3 separate regions of the Mus musculus genome follow, and regions 1 and 2 are each reported to be linked to region 3. Evidence: microRNA targets listed by miRTarBase, many of them from high-throughput screens and not tested one by one. Region 3 holds a microRNA gene; each other region holds the end of a gene's coding sequence.

Region 1 (4,272 bases), not on the chromosome of region 3:
AGGCACATACACATAATAAAAGATGAACAAATAATAATAGCAAGAATCTATGGCCTTTGTGTTATAGGACAGACTGACATTGGGTTTGGCAAAGGAATTAAGCTATGTTTCTTTTTGAATGCTCTATAAAAGGAAACAGATTTTTTAAAAATTGGTTAGAATTTGTATTCTTAATGTGACTTTTGGTGTACTAAAATTTTCATTGGGACTAAGTGTTTTCTTCTTAGTAAAGAAAAGCAATCATCTGTTATTTAAATAAATCAGACTGTTCTAGGAAAAAAATCACTCTGCTTTTCAAAAATGACATAAAATGTCATGTTAATCATGAAGTGTCAGCTTGTCTCACACAACTATCTAAAGAACTTGTAATGTTGCTCATTGGGGGCAGTCACTTCCTGTTGGGAGATTTGATTTAAATAATGTTATTCTTTTAAATAATGCTTCTTTTTTTTTTTTCTTCCAGGTGTGTTGTGAAAGTTTGGAAGGGCAGACATTTTTCTCCAAGAAGGACAAGCCACTTTGCAAAAAACATGCTCATTCTGTGAATTTTTGAAAATCAGTGGTTCCAGGAAAGAGAAGAAATTTGAAGAAAAAGCAAAATCAAAATTACCATTTAATTTTTAGTTTAATATTTATATGGAGTTCTCAAATAGTAATAGCCCTGAAGGCACAGACTCCAACTTTAAAAATCAAATCTGAGAAAACGTTTGGTTTAGAAAGCCACAGACAGTTTGGCATTTGTTATGAATTGCCAGTATTTTCTGCACATGAAATAGCTTTTATAAAAATCAATTTCCTGGCTATTAAGTTCATCTTAGAATAAATTAGCAAAGTATTACATTTTAGAATTAAAATCCCTAGCCTCTATGCTGAAATAATACTTTGTGGGGCGGGTAGTAGCTATGAGAATCCACAGAAGGCAATAAAAGTGCCTTAAACCTTATTAATAAGAATAATTGTTTAATAAAACCATTTTATCTTTAAAATAGTAAGTAGAAATCTAAATAAATTTTATGAGTAGGCAGTAACTTTTCTGTTTAGTGAGTGTACTTGCTTTGCTCTTATCATTGGTCTTACCTTTCAGTAAGATGGGCCATGGAAATTCTTGATCAAAGTGTGTCGTGCCAGTAAGAGATTGTTGTGATCTCTTCTGATGTTCTCCCAGATGCTGGCCGCCTTCAGATGGGGCAGTTTGTTTGTGTTGTGTATGGCTGCCTGGTCCAGACCGCCATGCTTTTCATCTCTTATGCTGACATGAAGATATTTCAATAGCGTTAGACTCTAATAGTTTTGTCTCCTTTTTAGAAAAGAGTAGGTGGAAGATAAAGGAATTATGGAAATAAAGTCATTGTAAGTAGAAAGTTAAAAGGACCACTTCCCACTTTCAGATAATGAACTGACTGATTTTTACATCTTATGTCTCTAACTGAAGGTTCAAAACCTCCTTGCCCGGTTCTTGGTTCTTTTTTCTTTTTGGTTCGTTTTAGATTGAGGATTATGATAAGAGCCAACTGTATATTGTTACTGTGTTTTTGCTTATTTGGAGTTGTTTGGGGGATTTTGTTTCTTGTTTTTTGTTTGGGATTCTTTTCTATCAGTAAGTAAATCCCCTCCAGCTGTGTGATCGCTGACTTAGACAACTTTGGGTCTCGGGCCTTTGGTAGTAAGGGAGAACCATGATGCAGCTCTCCCATGCTCCCGTCATCTGTTCGTCCTGAGAGAGCACAGCATCATGCAGGCACCGCCTGTAGTCAGGAAAGTGACTTTGAGACAGCCGTGTAGTTTGCCTCACTACCTAGGGAGAAAAGAAATGATGGCGTTTCGTGTTTTCTTCGTTTCTATAATGAATAAAAGCGTGTGATCCTGCTGAGTTACAGCTTAAATCTGTGGGGACAAGGTGCTTTCAAATTCCAGATAGAGTTCCCAGGTTCCTGCTGCCCCATCACCCAAGTGTACTTGTGCATCGTGTGTGTGTGTGTGTGTGTGTGTGTGTGTGCGCGTGTGCCTGTTAAAAAAGACGTCTTAGACTACAGTATTTGTTTAACCTCCCTAAGAACTTTCAAGGCATCTGTCCTGAAAGCTGCTAATCTATGGTCTAGTGAATTTATATTATATGCAGATAGTAATGAACTGGGAGATCAATGAACAGCAAGGGTGATACCACATTGCAAAATGGAAGCTTCTCCAGTAGCGGCCCAGGTTGCCTCCTCACCTGTGCTTGTAGGGAGGCAGGAAATGTCTTCAGAAGTCAATGCTGGGGCTTTGTCCGTTAGGTCTTTGTGCTGCTGCAGTGATCAGTATCAGACTTGATAACTCATGTTATCAAGTTAGTTATAGTGTTATTTCAGATCTGAATGTCAGGCTTTGGCTTATGCGACAAAATAAGTTGGGGTTTTGTTTTGATGTGGTAGTTTTGTTTTGTCTTTTAGATGATGTACAAAGATAATATTTGAAAACTCATTGGCATTTGCATACTCAAAGGCTTTTCTTTGAGTTGGAGTTCTTATAAAATTTTCTTTTACCAAGGATATCAATTTTATTAAGCCTTTACTTCTATGTGTTATTTGTAGAGTATAACGCTGCATTCTATAATGCTGGATTTCTCTAAATTTAATCTGTAAAAGCTAGTGTGGCTTGGTAATTTGGCATTGTGTCTGTATTCTTTGCCTGTTTTATGGCAAGTTGTATATCCATACCTAAAACAGTGACCTCTGGGAGGTGAGTTCTAACCATAGCCAGAAGCTCTGTCTGCAGTGGGGATTGCTATGTTTTGTTTACCAGCATGGGTCTGTAGATACCTGGCACTTTACCCTTCTGGCGAGCTCCCTGGGTATTTATTAGAAGTCTTCTGTGTCGGTAGCATTGTTTTTTCACTAGTAAGTTTTCACCATAGAACCCCGAGCTTTCCTCCTGCTAGATGTATGTTTAGAAGGCTGCACTCGATAAAGCCCAGATGGAAACCATAGTGCATGACTTTAAGTCCCTCCTCCAATTTCTCATTGTTCAGGCTTGGATGGTCCTACATTGATACTGTCTCTCTAATTGTTCGGTCTGACTGCTGCCTGTTGAAGTAGTAAAGTGTTTCTCTTCCTTGTGATTCCATGTTTTCCAGGGGTCAGGTTACCTTCCCCATGTAAAACCAAAGCCTAATTCTTTGGCCATCGTATTAAAGCAAAAGTAACCATTTGTTTACAAGAGATTTGTAAACAAAATCCTTTGAATATTGATATAAAACTATGTTTTAAATTATCTACAGCAAAATGTACTCTTTCCAAGGAACTCGAGGTTAGAGGCACTTCCACGGAAAAGTGATTCCCGCAGTGCAAGTTCAGTGGAACATTAATGCTTTTGTGCATGTGCAGCTCAGTCATCTCCATTGGAGCAGAGGCAACTCACACAAATGTACCCTTACTCCAGTCTGTCCCTCACCTCCATTGTCTAAGGTATTGGACTTAGATGCTTATGTGTAATATGTTGAACCTGTCAGTTGCTGTCTTTTTCCTTCTTCGCATTTTAAAGTTTGTGTATAGCTGCTCTTTTGCTTTTGGATATATTTTTAATTAAAAAAATCACATGAGAAATGTAATCTGTATAGTGATACTTTAATAAGCACATACTCAATAAACAACTGCAATGATGTCGACAGCACGCCTGGCCTTTTTTTTTCCCCCTCTCTGGGTGCTCTGTGCTTTCACTTAACTGAGCATGGGGAAAAGTCAAAAGTCATGTTTCATCATCACAGGCCTGGAAACAACCCCTGACAAGTCTCTGCCATGGTGTTAGCCAATCCTGCTGCCCTAAACATTTGAAAATACTGCTTTTACTGTACTATCTACCTTCTAGCCTTTGCATGTCCAATATGTATAAGACTTGTTTGCAAATTAGTAGATAACCAGTCTTTAAATATGTTCATTGCTAAAACTAGTTATTGGAATGGCATAGTATCATGCCTCGCTGTGTCATATGATTAGTGTCATAACCAAAGGACAGATTTCTTGCTCTTCACATTTGGCATTAGCCAGGCTGTCTCATGTCTCAGCTCAGGCTCATGAGCTGACTGGCCATTACTAGGTAGGCTCACTCATCTCTTACTCTTTTGTCTTTCCGCTTGGGGGAACTTTATTTTCTTTCCTAACTGTGTAAATTTAGAGGGATGTCTCTGTTTTAGACTGCACATTGGGAATGGGAAAGAAACTCAAGTCTATTTTGCTCACAGTATATTAAACTCCAGAAGCCAAACTTTTAAGGGCATCGAGTCTGCATCTGACATTT
Region 2 (4,272 bases), not on the chromosome of region 3:
CCACATTGCATCTCCTCTTAGAAAGCTGACTGAACAGGAAGAGGAACCAGCTACAGAGTCTCTAGATCCATCCCCAGTGACACGCCTCCTCCAGGGAGGCTTCATCTCCCACAAGTTCCCCAACAGCACCACGCTCTGGAGCCCAAGTGTTCAAAGGAGGCTACCTTCAGGTAAGATGGCATGGAGCAGCCCATGGGTTGTACCGGACTGAAACAGCCTTGCTTATGAACACAGGAACTGTGGTTCTACCGGCTCTTTAGGAAGTTGTTAAATGTTGTAAGCACAGATGTACTTTAACACTCAGCTAATTTCTGTTCTCTTAGTCAAATTGCCATAAACAAAGATAATCATAGCTGGCATTTTTATTAGGAGTTTTAAAAGTTCGCACCCAACAAGCCTGTACCTGTTTATTAAACACAGATTTGTAAAATGAAGTCGTAGTTATATTTTATGGTGTATTATTAAAACAGTTACTGGCATGATCCAGGAGTGTACAGTTCACTTGGATTCTACCTGTCTAGTTGATATTTGTTGGTGGGTTTTTACAGGATGCTAATTAGCAAGGTCCAATGAACTGAAGTGTTTCAGGAACCACTGGTTCAAGTTGATGTTAATATGATGGAAGCAACACAGTGACCCGTGGGCTGTTAAAATGGAAAAGGGTACAAAAGTCTCCCTGGCCACTCAGTGCATCTGTCAGGGGACCTCACAACACCATCCCACAAGACATGCATGCAGAAATACTGGCATCTGGTTGACTTGTTTGAAATTACCAAGTCTGTTTTAAGTATAGGAGTCAGGAGTCCAGCGTCCTTACTGCACAATGAGGCCTTTGACTGAAGGCTCCAGGTCAGGATGAAAATGCTATGATACCAATACTGACCACAAAACAGCAAGGTCTGTGGTTGCAGAACAAGTTGTATCTCAGCCTCAAAAAGGACACATGGATGGCAACCTGTGAGGACTCTAGTGGGGACTGGTGATGTGCTCATGGGAGAGTCCAGATGCAACTTCCATCAGGGAAGTCCAAAGACAAGCATTTTCCCATCTCTCAAAACCTTCCTGTTGTATTCATTCAGTACTTAGTAACCCAGGGTTTGCTCCATTCCAGGGTATGCTTGGCAGTGGCTTAAGTCAGTGTACAACTCAAAACTTCATTTGGTCTCAGATTTAGTCTGCTTTTCCCCATTGGCAAAAAAAAAAAAGGGGGGGGAGGACTATTTCACTTCAACTGATTTATCATTGCCAGGACTGGAGAGATAGCTCAGCAGTTAAGAGCACTGACTGCTCTTCCAGAGGTCCTGAGTTCAATTCATAGCACACACACACACACACACACACAGCAACAACAGCAGCAGCATAAAACTATAACAATAGAGAGGATCCAATGCCCTCTTCTAATGTGCACACAGACTTGCAGAAAAAAACACCCATATACATAAAATACATAAATTTTTAATTAATTAAATTATTGTAATGTTTACAAGTTTTTTTTCTCAAATAATTTCCAGTAGGTATCTTATACAAGCTGTAGAGTTCTTAAACTGTAGCAGCAAAGAAAGGCAACATAGACTAAAAGACATAAATGAAAGTCAGCTCTCAGCCAGGCGTGGTGGCGCACGCCTTTAATCCCAACACTTGGGAGGCAGAGGAAGGCGGATTTCTGAGTTCGAAGGCCAGCCTGGACTACAGAGTGCATTCCAGGACAGCCAAAGCTATACAGAGAAACCCTGTCTCAAAAAAACAAGAAAAAAAAGAAAGTCAGCTCTCGGCAAATTCATTTTATTGCACTAAGAATTTTACCAGTAACCACTATCAAGAACTACTACATATCTTTTTTTCTACCTATTCTATCAATTAAAAGCCTAATCCCTATAGGTGTTTTTTCCCCAAAGAGTTATGTTGCTGGGTAATTTCTCTAGGCATCTGTGAGAAGTGGTGTGCTATCCCATGTCATACTGTTGACCTCCAGGGTTGACCTGGGGAGTTTGGGTAACCCACTGTGCTCTGGGTGGGCTTGGGATAGTCTTCAAATGTAAATGTCCTGGAAGGGGAGTTATGTGGTCAGATGATCTCTGCAGTTTGGTTTAGGCCATTGATGGTCTACAACTGATGAATTACAAGTAAGTTCTAGGAAGGTGTTAAAACCACTGTACTGCCTACAAAACCAGCACTGTTCCTTCCCTGAACTGAAGAGTACTTTGCTCTGTTGGCAGTAACAGCGCTCAGACACTTGTCTCTTGATCTGAAGAACCCCAAACTAAGCTCTCTGAAGCACTGGCACACCTTGAGAAGAAACACGGAAATGCCATTTGAATATATAATGTTTAAGAAGAAAGGGCAAGCCAGGCATGGTGATGCAGGCCTTCAATCTCAGTGCTCCGGAGGCAGAAGCTGGCAGATCTCTGTGACCAAGGGCAGCCTGGTCTACACAGCCAGGGCTACAGAGAGGAACAGTGTCTCCAAAAGTAAACAACAACAACAAGCCACGTCAGGGAATGAATTGGAAGTAGTTCAAACTTTAAACATGAGCCTTTATTGAAAATAGCTAGAGCCAGGCATGGTGAAAGATTTTAATTTCAACACTTGAGAGGCAGGGGGATCTGTGAGTTCAAGGCCAGCATAGTCTACATATGGAGTTTCTGGTCTACAGAGAGACCCTGTCTCAAACAGGTGGGAAACAGACAGACATACAGACAGGGTTTGAGATGTCTATTCAAAGACGGGAAATGGCCCAAGTTAAAAGAACAGATGAGAGCAAGGGTAAGATGTATAGTAATGAACAGAACAGAAATACCATCTCAGTAAGCATAGCTGTCAACTATAGTCTTTTACATTTTAAATTATATGTCATTTTAAATATATATGTGTGCATACTGAACCTTGCAACTACCAAATTTGAGTCAGCAAAGAAACCAAGGAAGAGACAGAAACCAGGAGACTCTGCAGAGGGTGACAGGGTGGCAGGGTCAAATCCGGAAAGGAATCAGTGCAAGGGACAGAAGGGACAGAAGGGATCTGGCAGTCAGTCTGGTGGCCTGAAAAAGAACTAAGTCACTGTTCTTAAGGGCACTGTCATTAAGGGCAAAGGCAGCTTACAGCAGATCGAGCAGACAGAGAACGGGAACCCTTCCAGCACGCCAGCCATCATGCGTCTCGGTGTACCGAGTGGCTGCACGTTCCCTGTCGGGCAGTTCTGAAAAGTGTAAAAGGGACAAGTTTAACCCCTCCCCACCATGGCCAAGGGCTACGCTATGAGTTATTGGTGAAGAAACTATTCGGCGCCGCAGTTCAGGCGTGTGTGCTTTGTGTGGACAGCACCAGCTTGAAACCAACCAGTCAGGTTATCTGGCATTCAACACAGTGCAGGCTTGTGTAAGAAAGGATTGTGCAAGCTTGGGTAAGAAAGCATTGGCTCATCAACTCCATGCTTAAGGCACGGCTCCCTGCGGCACGAGACGGAGAAGCCTGAGGTCATACGGACATTTCTGCAGGATCGAACTGTATCCTTTCAAAATGAAAGTCCTTCCACTTTGAGTGCCGGTTCTGAACTCCGCTCACAATATCTTCCACGACGAAACTTTCAATTTTTATGACTGGAATCTCGAACGTCTTGTATCTCACAAAAATTCCCCAGTCGTGGCTACAGTTCTGTTTGGCGCAGAATATCTTTGCTTTCTTCTCAAAATTGTCATAGATCTTTGGTTTAGGGTGTGGCTTACACACAAAGCGCTCCTTAAAAGCGTCTCCAAGGACAGTGTAGTGGGACGTCTAGGAGGAAGAGATGGAGCGCACAATGTTAGAAACGGGTCTGAAAATGACTTAGAAGCCACTCAGTAGCTAAAAGTCAGGAATGAGTGGGATCCCATTTATTTTACAAGTTGGAAGAAAAAAAAACTATATAGACAGTCTTCCCCAGGCCGATTAGGACCCATTTCCTGGGCGTCTGGCACCTGAGAAAGGAGGAAACCCAGCTTTCCAACTCAGAAGCAAAGAGGAGTTCACATACAAAGTTCAAGTTCACCAGAGGCCAGGAAGGCACCAAAGCACAGGGCTGGTGACACCCAGGGGTCACAGGGTATGTGTGTGAACAGGCTCAGGAGCCATGCTGTCCACAGACCCCACTTAGACTTGACTTAAGAGAGTACCCTACAACTGAAGGAACCCCACAGGGAGAAAAACAATATCAACCAACCAGTCCCCCAAGAGCTCCCAGCGACTAAGCCATCCACAAAGGAGTACACATGGCTCCAGCTGCGTGCGTTGCAGAGG
Region 3 (4,000 bases):
CAGATTTGTCCTCACTGGGACAGAGGATGGGCAAACTTCTCACTGGCCCATGTTAGGAGGGCTGGAGCAGAGGCACCCTTGGGGTGCCCTAGTGATGGGGGACTGAGGACAGGTTCTGTGGGGGCAGGAGGGCTGGCCAGGTGCTCTGCAGCCCCTGAGCCTGGCCCTGGGCTCGCCAGCAGAAGCAGGACCGGATTGAGGGCTTGAAGCGGCATATCGAGAAGCACCGCTACCATGTTCGTATGCTGGAGACCATCCTGCGAATGCTGGACAATGACTCCATCCTGGTTGATGCCATCCGCAAGATCAAGGATGATGTGGAGTACTACGTTGACTCATCCCAGGACCCCGACTTTGAAGAGAACGAATTCCTCTATGACGACCTGGACCTCGAGGACATTCGTGAGGCCCTGGGCTGACCTTCATGGCACAGAGGGTGAGGGCAGGAGGCATGGCTGTACCAGCTAAGCATGCTGCTCCCCTACCCCCACAGCACAGGCGCTGGTCGCCACCTCCCCCCCCAGCCACAGCCACATGGAGGACGAGATCTTCAACCAGTCTAGCAGTACACCCACCTCAACAACCTCCAGCTCTCCCATCCCACCCAGCCCAGCAAACTGCACTACGGTAAGTGTCCAAGGTTATTAATAAGAGGGTGGTCATGGAGGAGTCAAAAGCCTAGTCTTGCCTTAGAGAGGGCAGCTCAGGAAGTGAGCTCTAGGCTTTTTGTGCTCTGAGGAACGGATATAAAAAACCTGGGTTTCCACTCAGTTTTAGGGTGCACATGGGTCTTTGGTGGTGGTAGTCAGGAGGAGTTGGGGTGTGGAAAGCTGAGGAGCTGAGCAGCTGGGTGTCTCCCTTCTGACAGGGATCCGGGGCCAAAGTCTATAAGGAAAGAAGTCCTGGGTATGTCTCAGGATGGGAGTGAGTGCTGACTCTCAGATTTTTAGGTGTTAACCAAAACTTCAGGCTGAGTATTGGAGCAGCTCTGGAGCACAGGGCTACTCAGATGGGTCTATGAGAGACTGAGAGTAGTAAGGGCCCTCCTGTGTCCTTAAAGGATTGCCCTCTGTTTTGGGACCCTGGAGGTCACAGAGTTTTTTTACTTCACTTCCCCTGCCTCAGGAAAACTCTGAAGATGATAAGAAGAGAGGCCGATCTACAGATAGTGAAGTCAGCCAGGTGGGTCCAAGTCTAAATCTGATGGTTTGTAACTTGTTTATTGCGTGGTCTCCAAAGTTACTGAAGCTGGAGGGTTGGCCACGATGCTGGGCTCTTGGGACAGGTGTGCCAGAAACAGTGCTACTCTGAGGGTAGGGTGATGACTGGTGGTGTGGTTGAGGTGGCCTGTTGTCTGGCTTATAGAGGAAGACTAGGTGGTACTGTGGGCAGGTCACACAGGGAACTGTGGCAAGAAGTTAGGAAGTATGAGAGGTGGGCTGTTGGACTGAGGACTCTTTGGTCTCTTGAGGACCCAAATAGCCTGAGAAGTGATCAGAAAGTCAGACTGCCTGTGCTGCACTGACTGCAGGAAGCACTTCCTGAGAGAGGAAGGCAGTATGCGGCACTTCTGAATTCCTTTAGATCCTAATGAATAAACTCAGCTCTGTCAATTTCTCCTACAATAAGAACATATCTTAGGAGACAAGAATGTTGTTGAAGAAGCCCAGAATTCCTTTAGGCTAATAGAAAGGACAGTCTCCAGTGGGAGGACCTAAGTGCACACTAATGAAGCTAATTTGGGGACCAGGGTTTAGGAGCAGCCAGAGTAATGGAGTGAGGAGGTGGGGCAAGGAATCATGGGGGTGGGCTTAGTTCTGCCACCTTATCAGGCCCCTTGACTGTCAAGCAGAAGTCCCAGGAAAAATGTGAATGGCCAGTTTTCTTTGTGATTTTTGTGTGGTGGTCAGAAGGCTAGGAGGCAGTTTGGCATGGCAGCCTGGTTGTTGGAGCGTAGTTTAAGTAGGGATGCCCTGGAGCACTGCATTTTTACAGTTTCATGATTAGCTGACATTCGGAAGGAATTGATTGTCCTAGTTCCCTTACGCTTAAACATTTAGGCTGATCCAACTAATTGCAAATTGAGGTTGGGATTTTTGTTTTTGTTTGTGTTGTTTGTTTCTTTTACAAGAGCATCTCGCTGTGTAGCCTATGCTGGCCTGAGCTCTCCAAATAGACAAGGCTAATCTCAGACTCATAGAGGGCTGCCTGTCTCTGCCTCTCAAGTGCTAGGATCAAAGGCATGTGTCACCACTTTAGGTCTCAAGTTCAGGGTATTTGAGAGTTTCCCTTGGTCTCTTGTCTTAACCTAAACCCTGTCAGATTCATGTGGGCTATAGGGACAATGTCCGGGGAGGACTTGGGACAGCTGGGTGGGCTGGAAGTAAATAGGTCTTAAACCTGAAGGTGATTGAAGTCTCCTAGGTGCCTCAGAGAATGTGGACAGTTAATAGCAGGTCAGAGGCAAGGCAGGAGGACAAGAAGAGGGTGGTGGATAGGGGACAGGCTGGTCTAGTACCTGACCCTTTGTTTTTTCTTTCTTTCTTCCTGCAGTCTCCAGCCAAAAATGGCTCCAAGCCTGTCCACAGCAACCAGCACCCCCAGTCCCCAGCTGTGCCGCCCACCTACCCCTCTGGCCCCCCACCTACCACTTCTGCCTTGAGCTCCACCCCTGGCAACAATGGGGCCTCTACCCCAGCAGCACCTACAAGTGCCCTGGGCCCTAAGGCCAGTCCAGCTCCCAGCCACAACTCGGGTACTCCTGCACCCTATGCCCAGGCTGTGGCCCCACCTAATGCCAGCGGGCCCAGCAATGCCCAGCCACGGCCCCCCAGTGCCCAGCCAAGCGGGGGAAGTGGTGGTGGCAGCGGAGGGAGCAGCAGCAATAGTAACAGTGGCACAGGCGGAGGGGCTGGCAAGCAGAACGGTGCCACAAGTAAGTGGAGACCAGTTTGGGGAACAGGGCAAGGTGGACAGTAGCTGACAGCCTGTTTACACTTGTCCTTCTTTCCCCAGGCTATAGTTCGGTTGTGGCAGACAGCCCTGCAGAGGTGACCCTGAGTAGCAGTGGGGGCAGCAGTGCCAGCAGCCAAGCCCTTGGGCCCACTTCGGGCCCTCACAACCCAGCTCCCAGCACCTCGTGAGTAGTGGGGTGGCAGTGTGTGGGCACAAGCTCTTATGCCACTTGTTTTAGGGTTCCAAGTTCTACCCTTCCTGGGTAGTACCTACCCAGTGTGTCCTTTCTTCACCTCAGCAAGTGTTCTTTTCCCTGCTTCTTACCAAGTGGGACATGTTTTACTCTCGGTTTCACACTACACTGTCTTCCCATTTCTGTTCTTTGCTCTGAGGCAGCTGACTCCCATGAGTGTGGGGGCTTTTCCCTTTTCCAAGTAAAATATCCTAGTCCTCCATTTCTTCAGCTTGACATCAGATTACTAATGAAAGATCTGCTGCCTTGTCAGCCTCGTTACCAGTCCTACTGGGATTGCACCATGTGCATCTGTGCAATCATTTACTCCAAAACTGTTTCAGTGACAATTCTAGAACTACCCTGTCCCCTGTCCTTTAACTTCATAAGCTGTTGGGGGGACCCTAAAATCCTGGTTGCACACCTCAGTACCTCTGCTGTACTGAAGAGGAGTCCAGAGGTTGGATTCACTTCTGCATGCTCCAGCTGTCTTGCTTTCAGCCCCCACCCCCCTTTTTGGATCCCATATTCTGTGCCTGTCTTCAAGGATCTTAATTTGATTCTCCTCCATTCTTTACCCAGAAAGGAATCCAGTACGGCAGCCCCATCAGGGGCTGGGAATGTGGCTTCAGGCTCAGGGAATAACTCGGGGGGACCCAGCCTCTTGGTGCCACTGCCTGTAAATCCCCCCAGTTCTCCAACGCCCAGCTTCAGTGAAGCCAAGGCAGCTGGTACCCTGCTTAATGGTCCTCCACAGTTCAGCACCACCCCAGAAATCAAGGTGAGTTTCTCGGGTGTGAGCCCTGAGCCTAT

What was found. Region 3 holds the annotated microRNA mmu-miR-3572-3p (UACACUUGUCCUUCUUUCCCCAG, at 2,993-3,015, shown strand). A microRNA usually pairs through its seed, bases 2 to 8, with sites in the 3' UTR of a target mRNA and lowers its output. Matches are read on the target gene's strand: a 7mer-m8 pairs with bases 2 to 8, a 7mer-A1 pairs with bases 2 to 7 and ends in A, and an 8mer does both.
Region 1: the mRNA of Pdlim5 is a reported target of mmu-miR-3572-3p. Seed matches in the 3' UTR shown: 8mer at 1,948-1,955.
Region 2: miRTarBase lists Ddx58 as a target of mmu-miR-3572-3p. Seed matches in the 3' UTR shown: 7mer-m8 at 2,583-2,589, 7mer-m8 at 2,230-2,236 and 7mer-m8 at 1,635-1,641.

The regions. Positions count from the first base shown.
Region 1 is chr3:142,238,961-142,243,232 of GRCm38, reverse strand. Pdlim5 (PDZ and LIM domain 5) reads left to right here. Exons shown (of 13, transcript NM_019808.3): 13 at 464-3,648. The coding sequence ends at 553. Among named protein-coding and RNA genes, the nearest start is that of Bmpr1b, 72 kb to the right of the region's middle.
Region 2 is chr4:40,202,336-40,206,607 of GRCm38, forward strand. It overlaps Ddx58 (DEAD/H box helicase 58), which reads right to left. Exons shown (of 18, transcript NM_172689.3): 18 at 1,442-3,771. The coding sequence ends at 3,475. Among named protein-coding and RNA genes, the nearest start is that of Ddx58, 35 kb to the right of the region's middle.
Region 3 is chr7:3,653,018-3,657,017 of GRCm38, forward strand. Mir3572 (microRNA 3572) reads left to right here and starts at 2,945; the gene lies at 2,945-3,030. It overlaps Cnot3 (CCR4-NOT transcription complex, subunit 3), which reads left to right. Exons shown (of 18, transcript NM_146176.3): 8 at 183-402; 9 at 494-627; 10 at 1,126-1,182; 11 at 2,554-2,935; 12 at 3,016-3,139; 13 at 3,770-3,968.